Lepisosteus oculatus: one gene and its partners. The protein of the gene in region 1 purifies or fractionates together with the protein of each later gene. This does not show direct contact. Links are inferred from orthologs where the notes say so. Each region holds a gene or a part of one and is shown in the gene's direction. Other genes may lie near its edges. The genes, in order: jun, jdp2b, dhx9 and cop1.

The links.
Region 2: the proteins of jun (region 1) and jdp2b purify together in Homo sapiens (co-immunoprecipitation; 3 studies listed by BioGRID and IntAct, with this or other methods). This does not show direct contact. The link is inferred for Lepisosteus oculatus from reciprocal best matches to the Homo sapiens genes JUN and JDP2.
Region 3: the proteins of jun (region 1) and dhx9 purify together in Homo sapiens (affinity purification with mass spectrometry; 3 studies listed by BioGRID and IntAct, with this or other methods). This does not show direct contact. The link is inferred for Lepisosteus oculatus from reciprocal best matches to the Homo sapiens genes JUN and DHX9.
Region 4: the proteins of jun (region 1) and cop1 purify together in Homo sapiens (affinity purification with western blotting; 9 studies listed by BioGRID and IntAct, counting the BioPlex papers as one, with this or other methods). This does not show direct contact. The link is inferred for Lepisosteus oculatus from reciprocal best matches to the Homo sapiens genes JUN and COP1.

Annotation. Positions count from the first base shown.
Region 1 is NC_090704.1:17,935,114-17,942,815, reverse strand, and holds jun (transcription factor Jun), read left to right. Parts: upstream 1-4,912; 5' UTR 4,913-5,464; coding exon 5,465-6,433; 3' UTR 6,434-7,191; downstream 7,192-7,702. UniProt on the Homo sapiens protein: Transcription factor that recognizes and binds to the AP-1 consensus motif 5'-TGA[GC]TCA-3'.
Region 2 is NC_090703.1:8,547,449-8,554,749, forward strand, and holds the start of jdp2b (jun dimerization protein 2), read left to right. Parts: upstream 1-4,281; 5' UTR 4,282-4,395; coding exon 4,396-4,483; intron 4,484-7,301. UniProt on the Homo sapiens protein: Component of the AP-1 transcription factor that represses transactivation mediated by the Jun family of proteins.
Region 3 is NC_090704.1:7,602,800-7,610,191, forward strand, and holds the start of dhx9 (ATP-dependent RNA helicase A), read left to right. Parts: upstream 1-4,386; 5' UTR 4,387-4,434; intron 4,435-4,485; exon of another isoform or gene 4,486-4,584; intron 4,585-5,168; 5' UTR 5,169-5,186; coding exon 5,187-5,297; intron 5,298-5,668; coding exon 5,669-5,809; intron 5,810-5,892; coding exon 5,893-6,025; intron 6,026-6,293; coding exon 6,294-6,433; intron 6,434-6,724; coding exon 6,725-6,873; intron 6,874-6,936; exon of another isoform or gene 6,937-7,392. UniProt on the Homo sapiens protein: Multifunctional ATP-dependent nucleic acid helicase that unwinds DNA and RNA in a 3' to 5' direction and that plays important roles in many processes, such as DNA replication, transcriptional activation, post-transcriptional RNA regulation, mRNA translation and RNA-mediated gene silencing.
Region 4 is NC_090704.1:6,368,400-6,375,539, reverse strand, and holds the start of cop1 (E3 ubiquitin-protein ligase COP1), read left to right. Parts: upstream 1-4,136; 5' UTR 4,137-4,366; intron 4,367-4,447; 5' UTR 4,448-4,511; coding exon 4,512-4,903; intron 4,904-6,306; coding exon 6,307-6,366; intron 6,367-7,140. UniProt on the Homo sapiens protein: E3 ubiquitin-protein ligase that mediates ubiquitination and subsequent proteasomal degradation of target proteins.

The DNA of each region.
Region 1 (7,702 bases):
AATGCTAACAAACTGTGCCACCCACTTTTTACTCATAAACACAAAAATGCAGATAATGAAAAAGATTTAATGCACCATAGTTCTGTTCCTAGAATCAATTTAAGAGATATAAAAATCAACCAAAGGTGAAAAACAAAAGTATATCAAATTAATAAAGTCAGATGACACAATGCCATGTTTTGAGAAGAGCACTTTATTATATTAAAAGGAAAACTTATTGGGTGTTTGTTGCTCATATTCTGTAAACAGTAAATATTTGTCTGCAAAAGAGCAACATTTCAGAACTAAATGAAGAACAAACAAAGAAAGCCTTGTGGAATGTGTGGTTCTTTCATTATCTTATCTTGAAAGTTTAAACTGCTCGTTCTTTGCAAGAAAGGTGGCTTGTGTGTAGCCACTTCTCCTGTGTTCAAAAATAACAGGTCTTGTCTAAGCTCTGTTTAAGCATTACACAACTGGAAACAAACTGAGTACAAAACAGCAGTACATGTTATTACTTCACAAGCAAGGACATATTACTTAGAAAATGAAAGATTGTAGGGTTTGTCACACAATAAAGCTTTTCAACACATCAATGTTGAGAAAGTGAAACTCTGTGTGTTGACCAGACTGACAGATTTCACATAATGCAGAATTTATGCGTATGCAAAGGCAAAACAGTTTATCAGAAAAGTTTATGAGTAATGAGTAAAATGTAATCAATTAAATTAGGCATTTATAGAACCATGTTAAGGTATTAGGTATTAATTTTACTTTTGCACAGAATATCAGAATAACATAATATCTATACTGCTGCTGAAGTAACCTTTTCCACATTGTACACTCCTGTTTTCCTTGTTACATTAACCATCAAATCTTTGCAAGATTTTTACCATAAAACTCCAGGATGTTTGTGGTGTTGTTCTAACTATAAGAAAGCCTTCTATGCTTCAGTTTTCCTCTGTAGTTCAATATTACTTGCAGTAGAAATGTTAGATATTTCTATTCACTTGTATAAATGGAAGCTACAGAACATATCACAAACATGGAGATCTCAGCAGCAATGTAACAAGACATGGGAGACATCAACAAAGACATTAAGAATGGATCCAATTATAGACAAGTACTAATACTTTCCATCAATCATGGAAAGCCACCTTAGTTAATGCTACTTGTTATGCATTGTAGTAAGCTCAAAGAGTGCAAGATTGCTAATATTTTATTCATGTAATAGCTCTCTCAGTCAGGCTCTTAGTTTGATAAATACTGGATGGCCAGGCTGTTATTTATTATCCACTGAAAGGTTTACTAGTGGAGCTCATATGATTTTGGGAGAGGTCCCAGCAGTAAAATGAGCTTTCAAATAAGAGGAAAATACATTTTAAATTGTTCATCATTGTGAAGTTCAAATGTCATGAGCAAAAAACTCTTTTAGAAGCAAATCTGTTAAAAAGACAGAAACAAAGAAACGCTTTCTCCTATATTATTGTATCGCCATGTCTCATTTATTTCTTGCGTGTCCGTGAGCCAGAATACAACCTTGTAAACGATTAGAGACAGTTAAAACCCGGAGTAGTAATTTAGACCACTAAATAAACGCAGCCGGATGGCACAGTGGCGTGGGGGGTTAGCGCAGCTCAGCTTCTGTGCTGCTTGACCCCCGAGTCTGTGGGTTTTCTCTGGTCCAAAACCACGCTGTCCTAGTTAACTGTCATCTCTGACATTACACCGTGTGCGTGTTCAAGAGAATGTGTATGTGCATTTCCTGCGAACGACTGAGTAGGGGTAGCCTACCTTGAAAGGACAAATCGATTACGGATAATGGAAGGACCCAGACTCTGGAATTTAATATGCGCAGTGCTGAGTTTCTGAATTGTTCTTTAAAAAAAATAATTCACGAACGCGCCCTTGTATTCAACCACTAGCACAAGCAGTCCCTTTACACTCTGAAAACCTGCGATCATTTTTTTAACCCATTATATGTATTTTATTTTCGTAATTTGCATTTCTTTTGTGTTCTTTGGCGTCTATATTAAAACGTTTTCTACAGTTAAAGGTGTCTGAGATTTCTCTAAATGTATATACATATTAATCTAGAAATCTATTTTCCACAGTTCGGGTAAAACGCTGCTCTCTTCTTGACGAACTTTGCGATCGCTGTGTTACAGCAACAAAAAACCGGGGAGGGGGGGACAAGTGAATTTTAAAACGCGGTATCCTTTCATTACCATTTCCAGATATACTCAAGCGTATCGACCAAGTGCAGTGTCATGTTTACGTGATGTACAGAGACCGAGCTCGGGCTGTTGCAACAATGTGAAACTTATTAGGGACATGCTCAAAAAACACAGTAAAAATAAAAACGCAAAGGCAAGAGTAGCCGAACAAGTACTTCTACGAGATCCCTATCGTTAAGCAACTACTGTATGTATTGTTTGGGCATGAGGAAATTACTTTTCGGTTTTTTTTATATATATATATCCACTTCTGATTACCTCCGATTATTTAAAAACAGATTTTTAAAATTATTGATATGAACCTATTTTATTCAAACCGTATGCCTCTCTGTAACCTTTCTCTAGATCAAAACACTTTCATTTGAATCCGGAGAGTCTTTACCGAGATACAAAACCATATTAAAGCAGATAATTATTCTATTTCCTCTGATAAACCTCCCGGCTGTGTGTGGTGGGGCGGAGACTTACATCTAAGAGGCTGAACAACAGTGTTTGTACAAAATCTCCACATATCCGCAGATGTCTATGAATGATTTATAAAGTAAATATATAAAAACTTCAGTCGGATAAACTCGCGATGGAATAGGCATACATAACATAGTGTATATGCCATTTACTGTATGTGTGCTGTGAGAGCTTCACCTTTCGTATTTATTAAGTCTTTTCATCACACCTAAACAGAAAAAGCACTACTTCTGATGGTTATTTCATTAAATGAAAGTATCAGGTTATTTCTGTATATATAATCTTAATTTTTCACTTACGATTTATTTATATCGGGTGTTACGTAGTGTGCATCAGCGATTAGTTAAAATAAATGTAAATACTACAACCGTTTATGACAATTAGACGCAGTATAACAACGACGAAATATAACAAACGCATACTATACATATAAATATACGACAATGTAAACTTTTCTTTCAAAAATTACTCCATACTTGAGTACACAAATGAACATTCATTTGCTATGTGCTTTTTTCGATAAGTGTCCCAGGACATTCAAAACTTGGACAAAGTACCTTAAGCAACGTGTCAGTTATATCAACCTTTAAAGGTATTTAAACTCTGAACGCAAACATCTTTAAAGAAGAAATACAAGACGACAGAAGTATTTGATAAATGGCACAAGAATGAACTAGACAGAGGTACAGTACTGGGATAATCGTTTTCAACAGAATAAGAACAGAATAGAACAGAATACGCGTTTTGTACTCTTTGTATCACAGACGATTCAGCACAATATGGAATAGTAAGCAACTGCTTTCTTCAAAGGGTAACACACATGCGTTAGCACAAACAACATTTTGAAGCTTTATAATATTGTTAAATTTGAAACGACATTTCTCTAATTGGTGTCTTTAAAACAAGACAAATTAGGATAAGAGAACAAGATGCTGCCCGTCCTAACCTAAACAATTAATCATTAAACTGATATTCGCTAAAACAGTTGCATTTTAACAATCCTACTAAAGCTAAAAAAGCAGGAAGTATTAGTACTGGAGTCCAAGGCTTGAAAACACCTTACATAACGGTATACCCAACATTGTTACTATCCACAAAGTAGGAAAAATGTACAGCGAAGTAAAGTCTACACCTTTGTGTTTTCATGGTATAGAAAAACATGTGAGTCACTACCTGTACCTAGTAAAAACTGAAAATATTTTAATAAAAAAGTTGTCTTCCCGTGTTTGGATGAATTTTGTAGTTTAGAGAGCACCCCTTATGCTAAGTCCCACAGACGTTTGAGAGACCCCTGCTGTAACTTTACCTTAAACCCGCCTCCTGCTTTAATTCGATTGGCGGGCGACGCTCGGACAACTGGACGTGTATCATGTCAATATCACAACAGACGACCTAATCCATCGATTGACCCCGTTGTGACCAGCGCGCTAAACCTAACCGAGACATGTCCCTGCATGTAATACAAACAGACTCGCAAAACATTTATAATTCCACTGGTGAGATCAATTATTTATCAAGGTTTAAAATTAATCATTCATATTATGATGTAGTGTGTTCTTACTTTAACATGTTTTATTTAAATTAACATTGTTTTTACAAGCCAAAACAAAGTTTGACAAATGGTTTCTCAAAAGTGTATTATTTTCACATGTGATTCCATTGCTGCATCAACAGCTGTACTGAATTTGTAAAATAATCGTATTTTAGTATTTAATAGTTTTAATCCGTCTACTCTTGGTAGTGTGTCGTACCTTGCACCATCTTCAGCCCTTATTAGGTCTATTCCCAATAATAAAGTGTCATTAAACAGAGATACAGGTAAAATGCATATATGTCCCAAGATTTAAACTTTCAAGTACGTTTTACCAGCTTTAACATAAAAATTGTGTTTTAATCATACACCAATAATTATCGTAAAAACTAAAAAATTAATACATTTAAAAAACAAAACGAAAATGATATTCCTTTAACAATTAAATATATCTAACCGCTGTCTGTGTAACTAAGCGGGTAACCAGATATTCAAAAACAATACGTAATCCCATAATGCACAGTACTTCGAATTACCTCATCCCATCAGCCACCGCGAGAAGTAGAATCTTCTGGGTGGTCGTCTAGGCAACGCACCTTATCTGAAAATAAGGGCACGCCCAGTGTATTGCCTGCAGCCAATAAGAAACTTCACGCATTACATCATTGCTATTTTTAGTGAGGCAGTACCAGCAGATAAGGTTTGCCTCCACGCTGGAACAGCTCAGAGTATACAGACTTTAGCAGAGTTCAACACCCAAGTCTAAAGAGGTGTATAAGCCCCCTAGCAACTTCAGCACTTAACACGTTTCTTCAGAAGACAACTGAAGAGTACCACAAAAGGCACTTTTAACAGACACTGCTTCAGTTACACCCCGAGACTGTGCGTGTCATTGAGCAAGCTGACTCAGAGAAGTGTCGCTAATAAGGAAGAAAACTTTTTTCCCCATTTGACTGGGCTTTGGGGAGTTCAACTTAAACATCCAAGTTCGAAGAAGCTGACAAACCCCCGAGTAGCAACAGACGTTAAAGACGGGCTACACTGGACAAGTACTTCTACAACAACTTTGAAACTGAAGAAAAAAGGGCTTTCTTCTATAAAGAACAGACTTTTTTTCATTGCTGAAAAGTCGAGGAGGACTGACAAGTCGAACTTTGACCGAGGTGGACTTTCAATAACTACAGGTAAAACAAGGGAAACTTTTTTGTCTCCTGTGTGAAAAATATTTGAACTGAGGTTTGGTCAAACTTCTATGTCTACCAAGATGGAACCTACTTTCTACGATGACTCGCTGAATGCTACCTTCTCTCAGCACGAAACAACCGGCTACGGATATAACCCTAAAGCCCTGAAACAAAACATGACCCTGAATCTCTCAGATCCAACGGTCTCTCTCAAACCTCACCTGCGGGCAAAAGCCAATGACATCCTGACGTCTCCGGATGTCGGACTGCTCAAATTAGCCTCCCCGGAGTTGGAGCGGCTTATCATTCAGTCCAGCAACGGTCTCATCACCACAACCCCGACTCCGACACAGTTCCTGTGCCCGAAAAATGTCACGGACGAGCAAGAAGGGTTCGCCGAAGGTTTCGTCAGGGCACTGGCTGAGTTGCACCACCAGAACATGCCCGGTGTGCCCAGTGTCACCTCGGCACCGCAGAGCAACATTAACAACGCGATGGCACCTGTTTCCTCTATGGCTGGTAATACAGTTTTCAATTCCAGCATGCGTTCCGATCCGCCCGTGTACGCCGACCTCAGCACGTTCAATCCCACCATGAGCACCGCAGCGGCGCCCAGCTACAGCAATGCCAACACAAACATGAGCTACCCACCTCCGCCGCACCAGCACCCCATGAACTCGCAGTTGCCAGTTCAGCACCCGCGGCTCCAAGCTTTGAAAGAGGAGCCGCAGACTGTACCCGAGATGCCCGGCGAGACCCCTCCCCTCTCCCCCATAGACATGGAGAGCCAGGAGAGGATCAAGGCCGAGAGAAAGCGCATGAGGAACAGGATCGCTGCTTCTAAGTGCCGGAAGAGGAAGCTAGAGAGGATTTCCAGGCTGGAGGAAAAAGTGAAGACGCTCAAATCTCAGAACTCTGAACTGGCCTCCACCGCGAACATGCTCCGGGAGCAAGTGGCCCAGCTGAAACAGAAGGTCATGAATCATGTCAACAGCGGGTGCCAGCTCATGTTGACACAGCAGCTGCAAACCTTCTGAAGGAGAACGCGCGAGCGAGTTAAAGACTAATTGCAGAGAAATCAAGGACGAAACTTAAAAGGCTATACGAGCTATAGCAGCGGTCAGTTAGTATGCAGCAGTGAGAGAAAGAAACGGACTGAGAGAAAGACGAGAGACTGAGAGGAAGGAGGCTGCCTGACTGCCTGAGCCCCGCGCGCACAGGAGTTCCGACTTGACTGAAGTCCGAAACTTCAGAAGCTGAGTTTGTCGGTAGCAAAAGACAAGGCCACAAACAGCACAGCTTTGTAAATGTTCTGTTTCATGCTTTTTTCCCTGAAAGAACGAAAAGAGAGAGACCACGTTGACCAAGTTTTGCATGGACCTTACCTTCGAAGATCATTCAGTATTAAAAGATTTAAGTAAAACAAAATACACTGCAATAGAAACAGTAGGTTGCCTGTATGTAACGCCATGGAAAGGCGTGTACTGTGATGAAAGAAGGCTGAATACTTTTGAAAAAAGTTGCCTGAAGTTTGGGTTATGTACGCAAGGTTTTTTTTTCGTTACTTTTATGGCAACTCACGTACTTTCAATACAAAAAGCTTCAAGCCTTTGTAAATTTGTTTTATGTTGCTTAATGGGGTTTAACCCATTGTTATTTGTAAATAAGATTAAATTTTGAGGACTTATGTTTACCATTTGTAATAAATATATAATTTTTTATGTTGGTTTTCTGAAGATTTCAGAAACTAATCGATTATATTTAAGGACCGTGTAAATAAAGTATATAAAATGAATGTCTGTAATGTATCTCTTTTCTAAGTTTTGGGTGGTGGGTTTGTAGTTGTATAAGGAAAATGGTTTTCTTCCCTAAACGTTTTTCCCCCACTTTTTTCATATAACGAGCAAGTTAAAATGTTCTGAAACTGATCCGTCGATAACTGCAGGCATTCTTCTGTACTCTCCACATCCTACGCAAAATTCCCTCCCTCCTGTTTTCAGAAGTGGTAGGTACTGCACTGCCTCTTTCAAGTTTGAAAGCTCAAGAGGAAATGCGTGTTCTTTTATACACTAGGATTCTTTATACCACAAAAGCAACAGTTAAGTGCCTAGCTGACCAGACTTTTGAAAACTGAGATATTGATATTAATTGGATCTGGTGTAAAAAAAAAAGTTCCTGTCAATTTTAAACAGGCATTCAAAAAGTCCTAGCCTTTTTTGTATTGAAAACAAATCTTGAGTGAATCACATCTTTTAGTATGTGTAATTGAGCTTGATTTCAGGTGGTCTTTATGTGACAAAGTTTCA
Region 2 (7,301 bases), on another chromosome or scaffold:
TGTGAACATTAATTCTGGCTTTTATCTTCCTCATATTGCAGAAAGATGTCAACCCCGGCTTTGTTGAGTTGTGCACAGTGATGTATGCCTGAGACACTCTGCTTCTCATGTTCAAATGAGTCCAGTTAAAATAGACAAATCTCTCATCAGAAGGTTCCATGTTTCCTCAGTAGAAACAGCTCAAGTTTTGTTCTGGCTGCACTCAAAAGAGATAATTGGCTCTTTCCATTGTAATGTAAATAATCTGAGCACACAGCTGAAGGGTGTACTGTGCTTTGTGCTGATGATATTGAGATTAAATAGAGTACATTCATTTATATTAATTACATATTTTGCGCTTAGCTTCAAACAACATTGTATATTTTCACAAAAACCTGATTCAAAGTGATGATTGTTTTTTAGTGAGTATTGTAGCCTTCCTTATACAATCACGTCTGGGTTTGCTCACACATCATGTGAAGAACAATTCCTTGAGGCTGATGGATTAATCTGAAAAGTCTGAAAAATGAAAAATCCTTTACAAAAACAATGAAATTGAAAACATCCCCTGACAGCTGAAGGGCTTGTGTAAGTGATTTTGATAAATCAATTTTTTTTCGAACAGTTGCACAACTTTTATAGATTGCTGTTCTGCTTTTTCTTTGGTTTCTTTCGTAAATCATTATCTATATTTAGATAAACTGACGCATCAATTCTCCCAGGAAGAGGACATAAATCACTGATGGCCCCAGTTTAGAATTTTTTTAGAGAACAACTTATAGGTGTATTTTGGTGTGGATAATAAACCGCAGTTGTCTGAGTACTGTGGTGTGTCGCCCAGGCAGACACCACAACTGTCTGTGCCATTGAGATGATGATGTGAATACAGGACATGTGTCTGGAAGATTAAGCAAAAGCTCTGCTGACTAACACTCTCACAATCAAAAAACGTTCCTTCAACTTGGCGATAACAAGGCTGTTACTTTAGACTGGACTTTTTCGCTAAATTAAATCCACATTTGTTAATGCTAGCTTGTGAATCATGCAAGCAGATTCATCAAAAAGTGCTTTGGTTGTAATTTTCTTCAGAGCAACAGTCTTTGCGTTTTTGCTACACAGTCACTGGTGCAGATGGTCCTAAGATGAGTCTACAGGTACAAAATTCTGAAGAGGAAATTGGTTCATGCAGGGAGCAAGAAAAAACTTATGCCCACGTTTGATTTGGAAAATTAGTAGAGTTCTGTGGTGGCAGCAGTCCAAGGTATGGCAGTAGAAGGTAGTTTGATAATCATTGTATACATGAGTTCTTTGTCTTTCCTTAGAAAGAGCCTCCATAGCCAGAGACAAGAAGGCTGGCTCTACTGCACAGAGTTTTAGGGTGGAAAGGGCTTTTGCATAGTCCAGGGGCATTCTCCAATATTTCAGCAGGCACCAGAGATTCAACCATTTCAGGCCACTGAACCGTTTCAGTGCTGAGGAAATACGCTCTTTGGTTTGTTACTGGAAAACAAATCAGATAAAAAATAACTCAACTTTGAGTGTTGGTTGAAGTCTGTCAGGGTATCTTAGAATTGTTTTTCATCACAAAGAGGTTCTTATTTTCTTCCAGAGTAAGTGCTTTTAAACCTAAAGCAGAACAAAAATGAGTTTAAATGTTACTGTTATGTCTGCCCTCCGTACAGACGAATTATTTTATTGTAACCTCGTGGAAAAGTCCTTCCTTTATATCCTTACTTTAATTTATGTGGAGGAAAATAAATACTGCAGTGATTGATTGTCCAGCTCTCTCACGCTATCATTGAGAGAAGGTTCCTTCCATAAACTGCATCTTAGCAGACCTAAGTGATTTATACCTCGTGCTGGCCCATATAGTGCAGTCTTTGTACTTGCACTATATGGGCACGGCATCAGTAATAGGGCCTTTCTTATAATACCCAGTATTTCCCTTTCCAAAACACTCAGTGCCTTTCTTCAGTGCCTTAAACATGGCACTCTAATATCATATTATCTTACAAATGCTGCGTTAAAGGATAAAAGATTGTTATATAGTAATTGCATAAAACCTGGCTTCATCCCTCTTAATATATAAAAATATCAATATTTCCACGGTCTTACATCTGCATCTATAAAGGAAACAACAGGGGCCTGTTTGTCCAGTTTCTCCCTTTTCGTGCAGTTTCTGTTAACATCCTCAAAAACCGTAATAATGAAACTCTTGAATGTAAATGATGATAATTGCACAGGAATATTATAGAAGTTTGATACTATCCCCTCTTTTGAGAAATAAAGGTCACAGTACTTATTTCTCTGGATGTGCCTTTTATACTGAATTGTAAAACCCCCTTTTTATCTCCTGCGGGTTGAAGCTGTGTCTCTTGCCCCTCAGTAGTTGATCGGGCTTGCTTCAGCTGTAGCTGCTGAATTTCAGTCCAGTCACCGTTAAAAGCACACACTGGAGACTCTGTGATGAGAGGGGAAAAAGGGACTTCCATTATAGTACTCAGCGAGAATTCAAATTGAAGAGAAACCTGGCAAGATTCACGATTCACGATTCACGATTCACGATTCAAGATTTAAGATTTAAGATTTCTTTATTTGCCATATACAACAAGTGTATTGGAATGCTTACTCGTTCAGCTGTACCCAGTAACATTAGAGAAAAAAAATTAGGCACAAATGACAAACAGACATGGAAAATAAGTTTAGACAATAGACATGATAATACAGCCAAGACAGGACATAGTGCCAACAGTGCAGTACCTTAAAGTGCAGGTGCTAATATGTGCAGGTGCCAATTTGAGCTATTTAAGATGCGGACTGTTTGGGGGAAGAAACTGTTTTTGCATCTATTTGTCAGTGTTCTGATACTGAGATACCTCCTACCAGAACCCAGGGGTGAAAACAGATCGTGGCCAGGGTGAATTGGGTCCCGAAGTGTAGCTCGAGCCCGGTTGTGGCAGCGATCGAGATATATCTGGTCGATGGAGGGTAGCTCGGTCCCAGTGATCTTCTGCGCGGACCTCACAACCCTCTGTATGGCTTTTCTCTCCTGTACTGTGGCTCCACCACACCACACCGTAATACCACCGGTCAGGACACTCTCAATGGTATTACGGTAAAAATTGGTGAGTGTTGTCTTGCTCAACCCCCACTTCCTTAACTGTCTCAGGAAGTGAAGGCGCTGGTGGGCTTTAGTGAGGATGGCAGCAGTGTTCTCTGGCCAGCTCAGCCCCTCAGTGATCTGGAGACCGAGGAACCTGAAGGTGCTGACAGTTTCGACTGGAGCCCAGTGAATGATGATGGGAGTCCGACGTCCACAGCGCCTCCTGAAGTCCACTATAATCCCTTTTGTTTTGCCGATGTTACGTGTGGGGTTGCTGTTGTGGCATCACTCCACCAGCTCTGCTACCTCGCTCCTGTATGCGGTTTCATCATTGTTGCTGATAAGACCGTTTACTGTGGTGTCATCACAGGTGCGGTTGCTGTTAAATCTAGCCCACACAGTCATGTGTAAATAGAGAATTCAGGGATTCCGGGATCGAAATGTTAGTTTATAATGAAGGTGCTGGGCTCCTTGAAAATTAAAACATAACCGTTTGGCTTCCAGCTGCTTCTTACTCGAGACTTTCTGCGTTCTCTGCGCCAGGGCAGCGTTTTCCGTGGAGTTATTTCTCACACACACACCCCCCAGCGACCACGACACAGGAGAGTGTGAAATCGCAAGCGAGCTCGTATCACACACGCAGAAGTTATGTTGTAGTGAGAACCTCGTGCACGATGTCAGTTTCATCTGGGCAGAAAAGGAAGACCACAAACCGCTATCGCAGAGAAATAGACCTCGTTAGACGTTGTGCGTGAGTACTTTAGTGTGTAGCTTCGGTGTCCCTGCTACATACAGGGTATTACTAATATGCTTGTCCTGTTGGGACAGCTGATGGCTTCACTAACAGCTTTATTTTGAACAACCACTTTCGTTTTGTGAGTTTCTCATTTTTGTCATAGGTCTGCAATACCAGTGGAGGATGCACGACGGCAAAATGGAAGATTTTTAGTTTTGTTTGATACCGGCGCTGCTTTGTTTTAGTATTGATTTAATTGCATCATGTTTAGTTTCTTTTTCGGTCCCGTGGTGACACGTTACGTACGTCAGGTGTGGTGCATTTATTTACAAGGGATTCCCGTGTGCCTCGCGTGGGTGGACTGCACGAGGTCTCTCCAGCTGGAAGCTGAAACAGTTGCCGTGTTGTTTGTTTTCTGGTCGCTAGGGGTGGAGCCACCCAGATTTTTTTCTCTCTTCTTCTCCCTCTCTTCTGCGTTGTACTGTATTTTTACATCCCTGCTTACGTATGGCGGAGGCTTAAGTCGGTTCCGCATTCCCAAACCCTCCCAGATAGGGATCGGTATAAAAACGGGCTGATGCAACGCTTTCCACTCTTTAAAACCTACGTCCGACCTTCAGCTGACCTGAAAAAAGAACGTCTATCGGATTTAGGAGTAAAGTCAGGTAAATAGAAGAGATCTTTTTTTTTTTTGACAAAAAATATTATAATTGGACATCTATCAGTTAGAGTCACGCACCGAGTTTGAATAAAGTTTGGCCACTTTTTTTAAAACAAGGTTTCGGACTGCAGTGCCTGGTGTATGAACAGAACAAGCGTCATGCCTATCTGGGTGTAGGATTGTCAGTTATATTATCTATTTTTTTTGTAAGCAATACTATTGTTTTGCATGCATTGTGTAGCTGGGTGCCCTTTCTTCGTCTGCACATTTTTTGCAATATGTTGCACAATATTGAGTACTCGGCACTTTCGCTTGCTTTTTTCCAGCAATAATAACTAGAGATTTGAGACAGAAAAGTAACTAATGAGAGTCAGATGAAACATGAAAATGCGTGTCGATCCGGTTTTTTTTTACGTAGACTTGTTTGCATTAGTGTGAGCTCTGTTGTTAGACCATTAAAGTTAACGGCGTTTAATTAGCTACAGAAGTTACACGACGTTACGTAAGACAGAGAACATTACTAATTGAACAACAACTTCCGCTTTGGAAGTTGTTTGGTGTAGTTTTTTAAAAATGGGTTTTGTGAACGTTTATCCACAAATGGAGGAAAACGTTTTGCCCCTTCTAGAGCAGATGATGATTTGAGTTGAGCACATTTTCAAGTTAATTTGCCTTGAGATGAAATGTCACAAGTACTTCAAAGTTGTTACTGCTTCATCATTCTTTTTACACGTTCGGTTTTTGCAATTCTTTAGTTCTTAGAACTTATTACAAATTTGTCTTTACACAATGTGTCTTTTTCAAGTGAGGATTGTCTCTAAAAACAAATTGGAACTCCTCTAAAGCGAATAGAGTAGGGTAGGAAGCATGTTTAATAAGTGACTTAAAGACCACAGAAGTAAATCGTTTTTGCACTTGCAATAATAAGGAATTCAACTTAGCTGTTCGACTAATGTTTGTCAAAAAATGACAATGTGCTACATGCCTGCTGAATCGCTGAAAGCTGTAACAGATGTGGTTGTGAAAAATAATGCACAGCAGGAACATGAGAATTCCGTGCAGGTATTAATTTGGGTATTACTTGTGTAGGTGTTCGTGAAACACATGATTCATGCTTTGATATCAAAGGGCCGCAGCTTTAAAAATGTGTATATATACACATTTTAAATGGTCGAATTAATGTGGGCGTTCTGTAGTTGATGCATCCTTTGCGGGGCTAAACGCAGATGAACTGCTATGAGATGAAGCGTTTTCCCCGTGAAACGCAGGAATGGAACATAAATCTGTGCAGCTCAACTTGCTTTCCCGGCGAATTCTTCAGAAATATTTCCTGTGCGGTGCGATGACCCAAGCTTAATGTGCCATGTCTGTGCTAGTAGGCAGTTTTCTACAGTGTGGCACTGCTTATGTATCAATAACTGGGTTTGTCACACTTGGTTCATTTGGAATGAAAGCATTTCCCCTTGGAACCGAGTTTCATGAACATGGCTTCCTGTAAAAATGCTGAAATTACGCTTTTCTGTCATAGTCACGGAGGTCTAGTAACATCGTGTTATGTACTATACGTGCGTATGTTTTTTCCCCAATGTTATATTAAAACACTTTGCACTCAGAAAACTTAATACACTATATTTTTTTGTTTGCACGATCACGGAGGACAAGTACAAGTTTAACGATTATGGGACGTCATGTGTTCTTCATATACTTTTGACTGCCTCGAAGCGATTTAAAAAAAAAAAAAAGATCCATCCCTCCTCGGAGTATTCCAGCAAATTGAATTTACCTTAACATTTGGGATTTAGTATGATATGCTATAGCTGAGGGCTGTGATTTAGACTGTTGTTTCTTTTGATATTTCTAATAAAACTACGGTATAATGGTGAAACCCTTGTGCTCTAGTGCAGAGTTTGCTTAACTCTTCCAGGGAAACATTTTGAATATTTAAAGACAGGTGTTCCTAAGAAAACGTCTCATAAGTACCTAAAAGAAAACCATTTTTTTTTAAATTAGATGTCTTTGTGGAAAACGAGATGGAGTTTATTTATTTGGGTGTAAGTGTCTGATCAGTTCAAATTCAGAAAACAGATTTTTACTAAAACTATTTACTAAGCATTCTGGCAACACCTGAAGAGAAAAGGATCAGAAAACTCATGAAGCTTAATAAATGCAGTCATGGAGATGTACCAGCAGGACCAAAAAAAATGTCCTCAGTAGATGGTGAAATAAGATGTTTTGCTTTAAGATTTTTCCCCCTTCGTTCTCTTTGTGGGTGTCCAAGCAAGTCAAAATGGTTTAAAATAATTGGTGTTACAAAAGTCATATGGGCCCTATTAATGATCTTGTTGCTGTCAGGTCTTTTATCATTGAAACCCCATCAATTTATTTAAGTGAGACCTCAACAGTTTCAATATGATGTCAGTATACTGTAGTTAGCCTATGTATTTATTCCATTGTGGCCTGAATGAGTGATTTTGTTTGAAAACAAACATCTATAGGAATTGAATGTTTAAGTTGAACATTTTCAGGTTTTTAATTCCAGTTCTAGAACTTGTAAGGTGTACACCCAAAATGTTACGGTCAGCCTCTAAATGACAAAGGAAGCAATGGACATAAATGGTAGGAAAATATTTCAAAACCCTGAAGCCTCTGGTTTATTCAAAGGGACAAGGACAGCTATTAAAAGCCATCTGTTGTATTTTTGTGAAAAAAGATGACATTGCTCTTAATTAAGGAGAAGAGACTTAAAATATTTTGGGTAATTTTGTGTTTATGTTTGGGTAATGTTAAGGAGTCCTATGTTGTTGTTTTTTTCAGGCAAGAAC
Region 3 (7,392 bases), about 10 Mb from region 1:
GCCCTTGTATACTTACAGAAAGTGGTTTAGATCATTTCTCTTATATTCCAAAAAAGATTCTCAATCATAGACCTTTTTCTCAAAGATTACTTGCATATAACGAACACTCTGTGGTTAAAAACTTAATTTAACATCAGTGCAAGTAAAATGAATGGATTCTATTTAAGAAATAGGGAAAAAAAAATCAGTCTTTGGAATGATCGGCTTTACACTGTGAAATGTGCTGTGCTGCAGTACAACATTATAACCTGTGAGAAAAATGTTAATGGATTGTTTGCATTTATGCCCGATTCTGAATCCAGGGTTAGATTTTCCTTTCTCAGATTCGCATCGAACAATTATTTTAAAGCGCCTGTTTGGAGTAGACTTCAGGTCTAAGGTCAAACCGCTCGGAGGTGCCCAAGCCACTGGCTGTTTTTGTCAGATTTGTTTTGTTGTTGAGGGGTACAGGGAAGTTGCATTTTTGTAACACTTCAGGAAAAAAAAAATTGGAACTAAATATAATATGCGCACCGACGAATTAATTGTATTTTTTGTTTTAAATCTGCTTGGCCATTAGCAGAAAGACTAATGATTGGGCATCCTTCCAGCGAGAGCCTTGATCTTTCCAGGGGAATGTGTGTGGACATGCAAACTAGCTTTACGAAAAACCCCTCCATGCTGCAGGAAGCCTGCTAAATGTAGTTGCCACATACTTCCATCTTAATAATTTCACCTTCCTGCAAGGGAGATAATAATTAAGCTAATTTTTTGTTCAGCATTATATGCAGATGAAACAGCATAAAAAGTCCAAAATTAGGAAAATGAAATGCCTTAATATGGGTTACAACCCTCCATAGAACACAGAAAACCATTCAAGTCACACATCTTTAGTATTATATAAACCAGAAGCAATACAAACAAGTTTAACTCATTTCATAAAGGTAAACATACAGTGTAGTTGTATTCTACTGGTATGTAATGAGGTAGCCCATGGAATAATTTATTCCAAAACACAATGCCATTTTTGAACATAATAAGAGGACATTCAACCCATTTAGCTTATTGTGTAGTAAGTAGCTAATTCCTTAAACCATAGTATACATCAGGTATTTAGCTAAAATCATTTAAAATGGATTCATCAAGTATCAGCAGTTTTAACTGTCCATTTCTGTGCTCAATAGGTATGGTGATCAAGGAGAGCACATTTCCCTCAGCAGTGGATTAAGGATTGCTCTTTTTTACAGACTTCTTGCAGTCTTCATTTCCTAGCATTTACATTTTAACTGTCCTTTCATCTTTATTTTTATTTATTTTTTGAGATGGCACCCTGATAACTAAAGTTTGTGGGAGGAATAAGAATTGATAAAACTCAGTTTTGCTGAAATTGAATAAATTAATCATTTCTTCGAAGGGTATAGGAGGAAAATCCATCTCGTAGGCATATCATGTCATAACTGCCTTAAACAAAGATGATAAATGAATATGTCTAGAAGACAGAAACCAAATCTGGCTTTTGGGATAGATAACTAAGCCCACATTAAAGGAAAATAAAAAATAAAAAATGAGCCTACCTCTGAGACATTACCTTTCATAGTTCGTAACTCTGATAAGATGAATGCCTTGTTAATATAAGCACAGCAGCATTTTTAATGCTTACAGATATGAGATACACAATGCATAACAATGGCATATAGCTAGATTTTGTCAGAAACATGCATCTTCAACCAAGGCTTAGTTCCAAAGAACAGTTACTACATATGAGGGGGGACTTTAGCCCTCTTGAAAGGTATCCCCCCCCTATTTTGAGAAGTGTACCAAATATTCCCACAATCATATTGACCCCCTCTCACTCTTGTGGTGTCAAAGGGGTTGTGGACACCCTCTTGGGCATGGGCAGGCTCCCAAACCCAGCCCTTTTTAAAAGCTCTTTTGGGTTCCTTTTCTTCTTTACACACACTCTCCTTCAAGAGTGGTGATCACACTGGCCTCCCTCATCAGAGTAACAGGATACAAGACTCCACCTTCTGTTACTTCTAGTCCCTTTGCTTCAGAATATCAAGGTGACCAAGTTCATCCTGTTGGACTCACCGCCCCACACCCACACCCATACACCTTGACATCCTCATGCTGAACTCACAGCTGCCAGCACACCTCACTCTGTGCCCAGCCACCACTGCACTATCTCCCTAGAGGGTATAGCTAGATAGACCCCACTTGTTTGCCCCAACACCAATGCATCACCAGGGGGAGAGTCCCTCTACCACACAAGCCACTCTGGTGCACGCACACACACGCTAATCAAATCACAACTCACTCATCCAGCGGACAACAACAGCCCTGCTCTCACACCCTAGAAAGATGCTGTCCTTTTGAATCTTTCAGGGATCTCATAAAGCTCCGTTTCTTCTAATCAGTCTCCTCCCAGACTGACAGTCTTACTCTTTTCCCTCACAACTCCATCTGGAAATGGAGTTCTTCTCCAGCCCATCACGGGGTTTACTACAGCGGCTAATAAAGCCTCAGTTCACTCCTTCAAAGCGGCGCACTCTTCAGACATCGCCCAGTCTACAGCAGAGCATCCACACTCGGGGAAAGCTAATCTCCCTCTTCCTCTTCCTCGTCCTCTTCCTCGTCCTCGTCCTCGTCCTCGTCCTCGTCCTCGTCCTCGTCCTCGTCCTCGTCCTCGTCCTCGTCCTCGTCCTCGTCCTCGTCCTCGTCCTCGTCCCACCACCACCACCACCACCACCACCACCACCATAACTACAGCAAGACCAAACCCCTGTTACATCTTTTTCTCTTTTCAAGACGTTTTAAACCACTCCCACACCTGCCGTTCATTCCACTTATTCAGGCCAGGTGTGGTTTGCACGGCAACGCGTCTCCCTTAATCTGGGGCTCCGTCCCCCAGACCACAATCTACTTTAAAACATGGGCAGTTGAGGGAAGGCGTTATTCATTTTTTTTTACCAAAGTTTTCAAGTTTTTTAAAAATAATTTTAAAGGTAAGCAAACAATTGCAATACTTTATTCATCCCAAAGGACCAATTTAAGATGGTAGATAATAGTAAAAACCATGCTAAAGTTTTCATTTACAAAAAAAGCGATTGATTCATACGTGATATTATATATTATATAGGGGATATATGCGCAACATTGTAGTTTCCTTGTTCAGAACATATTCCTGAACCAAATTAACAGGAACAGTTTCAGAAAAAAAAAAGCTGTCTATGCTTGGATCACATCAGATCGGGTACGTGATTTTAATTTATAAGGACTTGTTTACAAAGACTATTCCAGTAAACAGGTAAAACTTGTACACCCACGTTTCCATGCTGGTTCACTGGCAGGGTAGTGTAATGAAAATGCGGTAAAATGATAAATTGATTTAATAAGCAAATATGGACTTTGAAGGCTCAAGAATGTCCCAAGCACCAGAGAGACCTCTACAGGTGTCATTGAGTATCTGCACGGTATGAATTGCTAATTCCCTAGGTCCTCCCACACACAATTACATGCGGAAAGACTACTGCTCATGCAGTTTTGAAGATGCAGTCTAACAACCTTTTTTTAAGTGTCAATATACAGTGGCATATTAATCCGTGTAAACGGTTGTATGCTATTATCAGCTATAGGTTTCACTTTTGCATATTTACGCATGGATGTATTCTACAACAGTATTTGGGGTTTGACAGATAATTCAACTTTGTATAATCTGAGTTGCATCAGGGTACTAAAGCTATTGTTTTCTATTAAATGCAGTTAGGCTGAATAGTTCTATATTCGAAATCTCAGCAACTTTGAGAATAACAATTTGATCACGGTCATTCTAAAAGCAGAAAAATCCCAAAACTATTAAACATCTAGATTAAAATTCACTCGAACTTTATGCAAACATGGGCCAATATTCTACGAGACCTCGGGGAAAAAAACATTTTATTGGAATTTCATTTTTTCAAAAACCTGCCTTCTGCCCTTTCCTTCTGCGTGCACAAATTAGACATTAAAAAGGTCTGTATCCTACAAAACATGAGAATGTAAAGTGTAAACATAATGCTAAATAAAGTACCTTTTCTCCAAGTACCAAGTTTTCTTTTTACCTTAATAAATTTATATTGCTCGGCAACAATTTATACCTTGAATGATACACAAATTCCCTATATAGAAGGAACACTACATCACTAAACGTCCTAAATTTTGAAATGTTTGCCACAACCATGTCTATCAAATAATGCACACAGACGGTCAACGTGTGGCGTTTTTTACACCATATTGCTGCGGTTAACAGTCTTAAGGTTAGATTTTACGGTGAGACTGATTAATACGATAACTTTATTTTCTGGAAGACCGTGGTCCAATACTGGATGGCCCCGCCCCCGATATTATAGCTTGCTTCCGGGACGGCCATTTTGTATTTTGGTGAGGAAGTGGGTTCCTTTGCGACTGTTTATACAGGTTTGTGGGCCATTTATCTTGAAATTCTGTTTTGCAGACGTGAAAATGTGTGTGCAATTCAGAAAGATACCAAATATCCAGTGAAGCTGTACTGTTCAATGAATTGTGATAGCTTCAAGCCGGTAATTGCGAGTTAGCCTCTATTAACTGGTGAGATACGGGTTTTTGTGTCTCTGCATACCACACTGCGATACTCTGGTGCTGCATTTCAGTTGCTTTGTAACTCAATGATATGATAGCAATGTTAGCAATATGTTTTCAGATATGTTTGAAGGTGCCACGCTCCGCACCTTCATTTAGATTTATTTTCTTGTCTGTGCAAACCTAAACTCTACACGCAAGAGGTTTTACAAGGGCATGAGTACGTGCAGATAATGTAGAAAACATGGGTCCAACTGAAAGAATGCTTCATTTTTACAGAGCCAAAAACGATTCTGGCAATTGTGCTTTAAGCTTTCATCGTTTATTCACATGCAAAATCCTCATCAGCTACTCAGCAGTAGCACAGCAAAAGTGTTGATCTTGAAAATGTCTACATAGTACAGTAGTGTTTAGTGTGCACTGAGTACTGCGGTCACGCACAGTGGGAGTTTTCAATTGATCTTTTGAAAATGTTGTATTCTAAGATGTATTTTATACGTGCACTCACACTTTTAGTGATATATATACATAGTTTCTGATTTTTCCGTTCCATGTTATTTTTTTTGTCAACATTTCATTCTTACACTTATCAGGAGTATTGTCAGCGCACGATGGGTGACATTAAAAACTTCCTTTACGCCTGGTGTGGAAAGAGGAAAGTCACTCCCAACTATGAAATTCGAGCAGCTGGAAACAAAAACCGACAGAAATTTATGTGTGAGGTATGCATCTTGTTGTATGTCCTGTGTACTTTTTTTTTTCAGGTTGACTTCTGTATGATCTGTTTCAATGCAAGGCAGAACAAGTAGGTTAGCCTTAATATGTGGATGGTTCTACATTTATCCTGCTGCTTTATAGGTGATTACAGCTTCTTCGGAGTCATCTTCTTAAACCTACTTCAAATATCTGACAAATAATTCATCAGCAAGACCAAAAATAGGGATTAGGAAAATGTAAATACTTCTTTCTCTTTAACAATGGCTGCTTTGTTTTAGACTTCCAGCAGTTTTAAAACGGATCAGTGGTTCGGGAAGCTTGCGTGTTGTCAGATTGCCGCTAAAATGTGCAGTTTAATTCACTTGTGTCCTCTCAGGTCCGTGTCGAGGGTTTCAACTACACTGGAATGGGAAACTCCACCAATAAGAAGGATGCTCAAGCCAACGCTGCCAGAGATTTCGTCAATTACCTTGTCCGTATGGGGGAAGTGAATGCTAGTGACGTCCCTGCATTGGGGGTTAGTAGGCGAATGTATTTGTAAATGGGTGTTAAGGTTACTGGTTAGTTGCTTTTATCCCAATGTTTTCTTTTGGTTTAAAGGCCAGTTTACCAGCCAGTGATTGTCCTGATGGTGGAGGAGGGGGAGGAGCAGGTGCAGGCAGCGGCGGCGGCTTTGGAAATCTGCCTCCAAACGGACCTATTCCTCCACATCTGATTGTAAAGGCTGAGCAAGGTGAGATGCCAGGAGATCCCTGGAGCAAGTAATAATGGGGACTGATTACACGTGGTTGTCATATGAACATATCAGACTGCCACTTGGCTGGCAGATGGATAATTAGAGCTTAATAGTGTTTTCTATAGGTAAAAAAAGAAAGTGTGTGTGTAGTGCTAATGGTATCATCTATTAACAGTATAGTGACAGTATATACTAAACTGATGGACAGTGATATGGTAAAATGATTGTTGATTTGACCAGGAAAACTTCGTTGTACACAACTCAGGTTCTGAAGCAGGACCTAGCTCGGGACCTGTTCCAGGGGTGACTGGTTTGGGCTATTCTGGTTTTAACAATGCCCAGTGGGATCGTGGCGCCAATCTTAAGGATTACTACTCAAAGAAGGAGGAACAAGAAGCACAAGCAGTAAGCCTTATTAATCCATTATTCTGCAGTTTTCCAAGCTGGTTAACAGAATGGTTTTCAAACTTCATTTAATAAAGGAAAACATTGATGCATTCTATTTTTTCGGTCTAATGTAAGTAACTTTATGATACTTGACATGAGATTAGTTTCTAGAGAATCTTTATAAAGCTATGGGTCAAATTTCCTTTCAGACTTTCCATAGAGAAGGTGCTTCCATAACCCTTTCCTTTTAAATGTTACACAGATGTCCATTATTACCAGTAACTCCTGCTTTTTTTTTTTGTCTTGTAGACTCTCGAGTCTGAAGAAGTTGATTTGAATGCTGGGCTTCATGGTAACTGGACTCTAGAGAATGCCAAAGCCCGTCTGAACCAGTTCTTTCAGAAGGAAAAGAACCAGTCAGACTACAAATACAGCCAAGTTGGGCCTGACCACAACAGGTCTGGGGGATCCACTGGAGGTTCTTTTGTCAGAAAATGTTTTTTGGTCATTTGTCCATTCCTTTGATATTCAGCTTTTCACCTTTTACTAGTGTTATGTGAACCATGCTTTGAGTGAATAGTGAAAAATGTTATGGCAGCATCTCTGTTATGCAAATGTGATGATGATATGAAGTTATTTAAATGAGGAGCGTTAGAAGCTTTTAGTTTTGGCAGGTCAAGAGTTCTTAAGACTATATAACACTATGATCTTATTAATGCATTTAAACTCAGTTATAACTTTTTGGCTAAGTTACTGTGAAGCAGTTTTAGTGTTTTTCTAAGACATCGGCTTCTGTATCTGCATAAAAGTGTTGAAATGTGTATGCTGCTCTGCTGAAGCTGCAGTGTTTCTGTGAATTGATAATGTCCTAGGTGGGCAAGCCTTAAATCAAACTGTCTCCACTCTTTTGTGCATGTGAAAGGGTTAGCTGGGTTTGAATTGCAAAAACATAAGTGTCCTGATTTATAAAGTAAGGC
Region 4 (7,140 bases), about 12 Mb from region 1:
CTAGAGCTCCCTTAAAATCGAATTAATCTGCAGTAATTAATTGAACAAGGCAGCGATGGGTCTCATTATCAGCAAGAAACCTTAAGAGAACAGAAAATGACCCACTATGTTTAGGGTTTATCATATCAAAACTTAAACAATTCCTATTTTTTGGGATTCACACAATTGTGGGCGACATTCCAGGATAACTGGCGGGTTACTGAATCGTGGCTACTGCACATAGCAAAAAACTGCAACAAAGTTCTGTAGCTGTAAAAAGAGGTTCATGAAATTAAGATACACCTTTCATGGGCTGATGGGTTACTTAGTCACCTAGATGGCAATAGTAATACAGTAGTGTATAATGAGGTCATGAGGATTTCCACCTTAAAATGTACTGTATGGTTCATCATCAAAACTCCATTCTAGATCACAGAGGAAAAGAAAACTGCACCGAGGTCCCAATATTTTGTTTTTGTCCACATCCCAGCAGTCAGCAGAAAACCCATTCTCTGAGAACGAGTGTCAACAGAGCCATCTGCTTTTTGTCATACTGTAACCCCAGAGCATGACCAGTTTAGCATTGCTTGTCATAAGGTGGACCTTCACAGCATGGACTGTTATCTTCGTCTAAACCCAGGTCAGTGGCAAGGATAGCCAGTTCATAGGGAGCTGAGAATCCTCAAGTTGATACTGCCTTATGTAAAATCACAGAAGATCTCATGTATCTGTTTACTGCTTGTGAGAGATCCTGGCCACAATGAGATATTAAAACAGTGTAAGATCACTTTATTAGCCATATACAATTTCTTGCATTAAGAATTTGTCTTCTCGCATACCCCAGCTTGCTTTCCATGAGACACAGACACAGACAGGGAGAGAAGCTCGGGGTCAGAGTGCAGGGTCAGCCATTGTACAGCGCCCAAGGAGCAATTGGGGTTAAGGGCCTTGCTCAGGGGCCCAACGGAGTAGGATTCCTCTGCCGGCCCCGAGATTTGAAGTGGCAACTGCTCTGCCCCCCAGTATATGAACTAGGTTTTTCTTAAACTAAGAGACCTTGCAGGATATTATTCTATGCGTTTCTCAGAATGAAAGATTTTCTAAATATGATGTTTATGAATTTGTGTTTTTGGCATGATAACTTGTCAAAATGTATGCAGCATGCGAGCCAAGACACTCTTGCTAATGAGAAGACATAACTCTCTCAAAATAATATAATTTAACTGAATCAAATGGAGTTGAAAAAAAAAGTTGCTTTTAATGGAAATTGCCTGTGAAGAAGATGACAAATAGTCATTTGTATATTAAGGAAATAAAATTGTGATCAACACCCAGTGGAGAGTACAACTATGACTGAAAAAATATTTGCTTACTAATGTATTTTTTTTTCATACAAGTGAGTTCATTCTTACTAAGAAATTAGGATTTTTTTTTAATATGGGTGATATTACACAAAAGTCCCATGCTGACATTTTCCTGTACTGTAAATTATATATGAACTTAAGTGGGCTGAATATCTATGCATTGAAACACTTTAATTATAGAACAGGTATGGCTGTATGGCTTTAACTGAATACCAAGTACAGTACCATGAGCTGTTTGTTCTACTGAAAAGAAATGCTCAGTTTACATTATTTTTCAATGTATGTATTTGATTCCAGACTGGAGAAAAGCAGTTTCAATTTCAGCTGAGTGAAAATGTTCTTGTAAGGTAATAATGATTTTAATAAATACAACACGAGGAAACTGTAAAATCATCACAACATTGCTTCAGATAGTCTTCCCAGACACCTGCTCCAGTACTGATTTCATTGCATAACTGTATTATTCCTTACCAATAAAATTCTGACCTCGTAAAAGACACAATTCAGAGAAGCACAGATGGACTACCTTTTTTAAAGCTCTGTATATTACTCTTTTGGGTCAGATTTCAATGAAAATGAGGAAAGGAAAAGACTTTTTGAAGAAGTGCCTTGGAGGAGAGGGCAAATTAATAAGATGTGGGAGATTCAGTCATATCTGACAAAACAGGACCCTGTGGCAGATTCAGGAGGGCTTTTATGGCTCAGCTTGGAACACTTCCATTAATTTTGCACTTGCCAGCAAGAATTTTTATCATGATATGGGTTTGAGGTACTGGCCCCTTGAGAGATCAGAAAATAAACCACTGGTGGTCCACTTTTTCTTATGTGCTGCCAAAGAGGCACTTACTGTGTCAAAGTTGCCTACCTTTCAAAATAACTGCTTTAAAATATTAACTCAGAGCTGAGATGAGAGCTAAAGGATACGCATTCTTATTTAAACAATGATAGAAATGCAAACATTGGGGACTAGAATTTATTTCTCCTATTAAAAGCTGTTTTCTAGAATTAACCTTGCCTGCCTTGTTAGAAATTCTTACCCATAGCACAACATGGCTTCATTTCCACAATTTGGGTATTTATAAATGGTCTGTTTAGACACTCCCCACACAGAACCTTCGGCACTCCTCCCAGCCCACCTTTGTTTTGTTAGAGAGACCTCTCTGAAAACTCAAAGGGGTTTTAGAGCAGACCTGATCTCCCACCATCACAATGTGCCCAAATTCCACTACCTAAAAACAACAACTGTTAAGAAAAAAATACCTCAGCTACTTAATTTAGAGGAGATACAAAAAAACAAACAAAATATAAATTATTTAAGTTTAGCATCTTAATGTATGGGGAGAAAAACAATATTTTGTGATGTTGCATTCAAAAAGACCTTTTGGGAGAATTAGAAAGTATTACCATAGACACAACAAAAAAACGTATATGAGTAATTATGATAGAGGACAGTTTCAGCTTCTGGAGAGACTTAGCCAAAGCAAAAAGACACTACAAAAAAATAAAATAAAAGTGCTGCAGAATCTTAAAGCTGGACCATACAAGCTGTTTCACCTGCTATATTGTAATGAAAAATGCAAGAAAATGCTCACTCTTCATTTTGTGGACAGAGGAGACCTATTGCTGACAGAACAAATAAACTGTACTTTGCTGCTACGTACTGTAGCTTGTCCTGCAACTGAACGTGTTGCTGTTTGTGTAGTTTTCCTCTATACATGAATATAAAGTAATAAAACACAAAAAGAAACAAGCTCGCCACCTTGTGTTAAAACTGAGAAAATTTAATGCGGGAATACAGTTCATACAGGAGAAAACAGCTAATAAAACCAAAAATATAATGTTTTTATACAACATAGGTACAATTTTTGACATGTTCATTTGATTACATTGTATTTTTCTTTCATGGCTCAAATTTCATTTACATGTCTTTATAAATATTTACTTATTCAGAAAGGACAAGTACGCACACCTACTGTGATAAGAAGAAAGAAAGCATCTTAATCCATTACATCTTAATATAAGCATCATCTGCAAATGTTCCCAAAATACTTTCGAAAATCATCATTAAGCCATCGGTAGCACAGCTGTAGTATAAAAATCAATAATTGTATGACACAATGTATTTTATAGCTCTTTGTACAATTATTTTGAAGTATACGTGTTTTAATTGCACTGTATTTTTGAGTACATATCGCCCTCATGTGGATATTCCCGGTATTATTAGAAACATGCAATGAAGGGTTATTTTTCAATATTATTTATGATTATTTCAGAAAGTTGTGACCAACTAATCTGCACATGTGTCGAAATGAGTCATTACCATCACATATATGTGGTTTGTTGTTATTTTTCGAATAACCTCTTTTGTTGTAACCTTTCTGGTTGGAAAAAAAATCAAAATAACCGCTTTTTCCGTTATCAAATAGAGCTGCAATAAAACTGTCGTGGCATTTCAACATTTGCAATGTAACTTTTTTGCATTAAAATTAAGTTGACATACATAATCCATGGGTATATTTTTTTTTATTAAGACTAGTTACAAAACAAGAAAAGCGTTACCAGCCTGTCGTCGTGATAATAAATTCTTCCCTCGAAATGAATGGGTGTTGTGTATATATAAGTACTGCACACTATAGGCCTACAGCTCAAGTAATTATACCGTATATCCCTACTTTGTGTGAATAGGTTGTATATAAAAAAAAAAACACCTATCCTCTTCAAATGTAATTTAAACCAAATGGATGTTTTACGTGACTTACGAAGTCCCGCTATTTTTTTTGTACCTGTACGTGGGAAGTCCTGCGTGTTGACGCAGCGGCGCAAAGGTGGCAGCTGTGCGGTCCCGCACTGCTCTGTAACCGGGGAGATCGCTTGTAGTTTCCAAGTCTCGGTTTGGCAGCGGAGCTTTGTTCGCAGGATTTGCTGTTTAGCTCCTTTCCGTGTCTTTCAGGAAAGTGATAGCTTTCGACAGTTTCAACAGCCTGATCGCATTCCCTGAAATAACCCGATCGGAGTGACTGCTGGTGAGGTTTTTTTTTTTTTTTTTGGGGGGGGGGGGGGGGTTGTGTCTTTCTCCTGAGTTTCTAAGTCTTTAAACCTTGCAGCCCGGATGCAGTGAGCAGGAGCCTGCGGCCTGCCAGAGCGGAGTTGGAGCAGCGGCCTCGAGTTATGTCAACCCCCCGAAAGCCGCAGGTTGGAGGAGCGGCGGGCTCAAGGCCTGGGACGAGTAGCAGTAGCAGCAGCAGCACCACCACCACCAGCAACAGCAACAGCAACAGCAGCAGCACCAGTAGCAGCAATAATGCCAGAAACACAAGCAGCGGGAGTGGTAACACTAGTAATGGGACCAATTCTGCAAATGTTGTCTCTTCACGGACACTGGGAAGTGGAGCCGAGGGGTTACCTGTGGCCGCTTTGGGGATCCCTACTTCCCGAGTTACTCCAGCTTCTCTGGCCAGACCCGGCTCGTCCTCTGGAAGCAGCAGAAAACGTCCTCTTCCAACACCCCTTTGCAATGGCCTCATAAACTCGTACGAAGACAAGAGCAACGACTTTGTGTGGTGAGTTATTTTTGTTGTTGTTTTGAGGGGGGGCATTTAAATTCCATAAGGCCGACATGAATCATGCCGACTGAGGCATTTTTTTGGATTGTTCTGAAAGTGAAGAAATTAAGATACCGGTGCTGGTTTTTGGTATTGTGTTTTTTGCCCCCTGAATGTTTATATATATATATTCCCCATTTTATAAATAGTACAACACGTAATTACTCTCATCTGCACTATTGAAACATTGTGCGAAACGGGACCCAACATCAGCTCGTAAAATCAATCATCTCCCATCAGACATTTGTAGTTATTATGTTTTTGAGTAGGACATTTTCGAGTTCGACGAGGATTTGAAATTACAGACGACAGCATAATGGTCAAAATTAAAAAAATAGATTCAGCCCCATTTAGATGCATTTTTTTGGCGACAGCTTTACATTCTGGATTTGTGGGCTATACAATAATGTGTATTCCTGCCTGCAGCTGAGTTACTGCGTTTACTGGTACACGTTTGTCTTTATTCGAATGAATGGATGTTGTAGGTCAAACATTTGTCTGGTCTGAATTGGTCACGTTTTTTTTTCTCTCTCCTGAAAATGGCAGTTTAGTACTAAGCAAGCCAAACTAATTTCCTGCTTTACACAACACAGTAGTTGGTTTTTGGTTGTCAGATGTCAACAAACGTTCGGGATGCCACAGTGAAAATGGAAGGTTTTTCCTCCTCTTTGCCTTTTCGGCAAAAAAAAGTTTTCTTTTGTTCTTACAAAGTACAGTACCTCTTGCACCCCAGGATTAAGACAGTGCCCGTACGTTGCTGATCACTGTCAAACGTGATGTGTTAAACCTGTCGCAATCTTTCAGGACTGGCTGATTGCTTAATGTTTGTTCTTTTTGGCTTTGCAAAGTCTTGACATTATGTCCTACTTTTATGTGATGCCTACATAATTATTAGCATGTTATTTTTTTGTCCATGATTTTTTTTTATTTAGGAACAAATTTCTTTTCTGACTATTGTTGAGAGCTTAAGATAATTCAGTTGTTATATGCCATTTTCATGGTCCTTCAGCAATAAAACATTATTGTGTCTTCCAATTGCACACCTCCTTACCACCATAAATCCGCTCTATACTGTATTGTACAATAAATGATTAACTCTCGTTTTTGTTTTGTTTTTTCTAATTTTGTATCTTAAGGAAATGTGCTATATAGTGCTTGGTACTGTTTTCTAAAGGCCCATACATATTCTATTTAATTATAGCAATATATCCGTGTTCGTTTTTAATGATCGTGAAGTCTCATTTGTGCAAAGTGTGGTGATCTTTAAAAATATAGACTGTACTAGCTTTAGTGAATTGTGTAAATTAAATAATCTGTTGCAATATGATTTGAATTGTTTTTAATGTGAACCTTTTTTTCAGCCCAATCTGTTTTGAAATGATTGAGGAAGCTCATATGACAAAATGTGGGCACAGCTTTTGGTAAGTAATCATTTAAGCATTAAAAGAAGAAAAATGTATCAAAAAATTTGTGGTGCACTTAAGGTAGCATTAGTTGGGATTTTAATTAGCTCTTTTATGTATTATTCTGCATTACTCAGCATAGTTTCACAACTACCTTAATAGAGAAAGTGCAAAGCTACGTTAACAAAGTACAGCAGAAATCACATGTGAAAAGTTAAGTTAAAATTTCTGTCACATAGTTTCTTCATTTGAGACTTGCCATACTAAGCACCTTCAGTATCTGAATGTTTTATGCTGACTTCATGATTTATTTGATAAACGCTATTAAAGTAGCTTTTTTGGTAATGATAATCTACTGTACTACTAGTGAACTGCTTGACGTGTATGCTATTAGTAGATTCCTTAATTGCTGCAGTCTATTCTAGTTGTAGACAGTGCTTTTTATTGTAGGAAAATGTAATTGTTGGATTCAGTCTGTCTCATTTTTGTCAGTACTGGTGGGTTTTGGAAGTTTTATAAAAATGTAAGTTTTATTTCCCTATAATCATTTTGTGATTAACACAGAGTGCATTTTTATACAAATGGGTTTTAGGATATGCTAAATCTTAATTTTATTGCACAGAGCTATATGCTCTAAGCTTGTGCTTTTATTGTTGTTTTTAGAACTTAAATGTGCAGTAAAATGTTTTTGGGAACATAGGAATTAGAGTATTTTTTTAATATGTAATCATCTTATATTTTAAATGAACAGTGATGAAAAAGTCTGTTTTTTATGCACCGTTTGTCAGCATT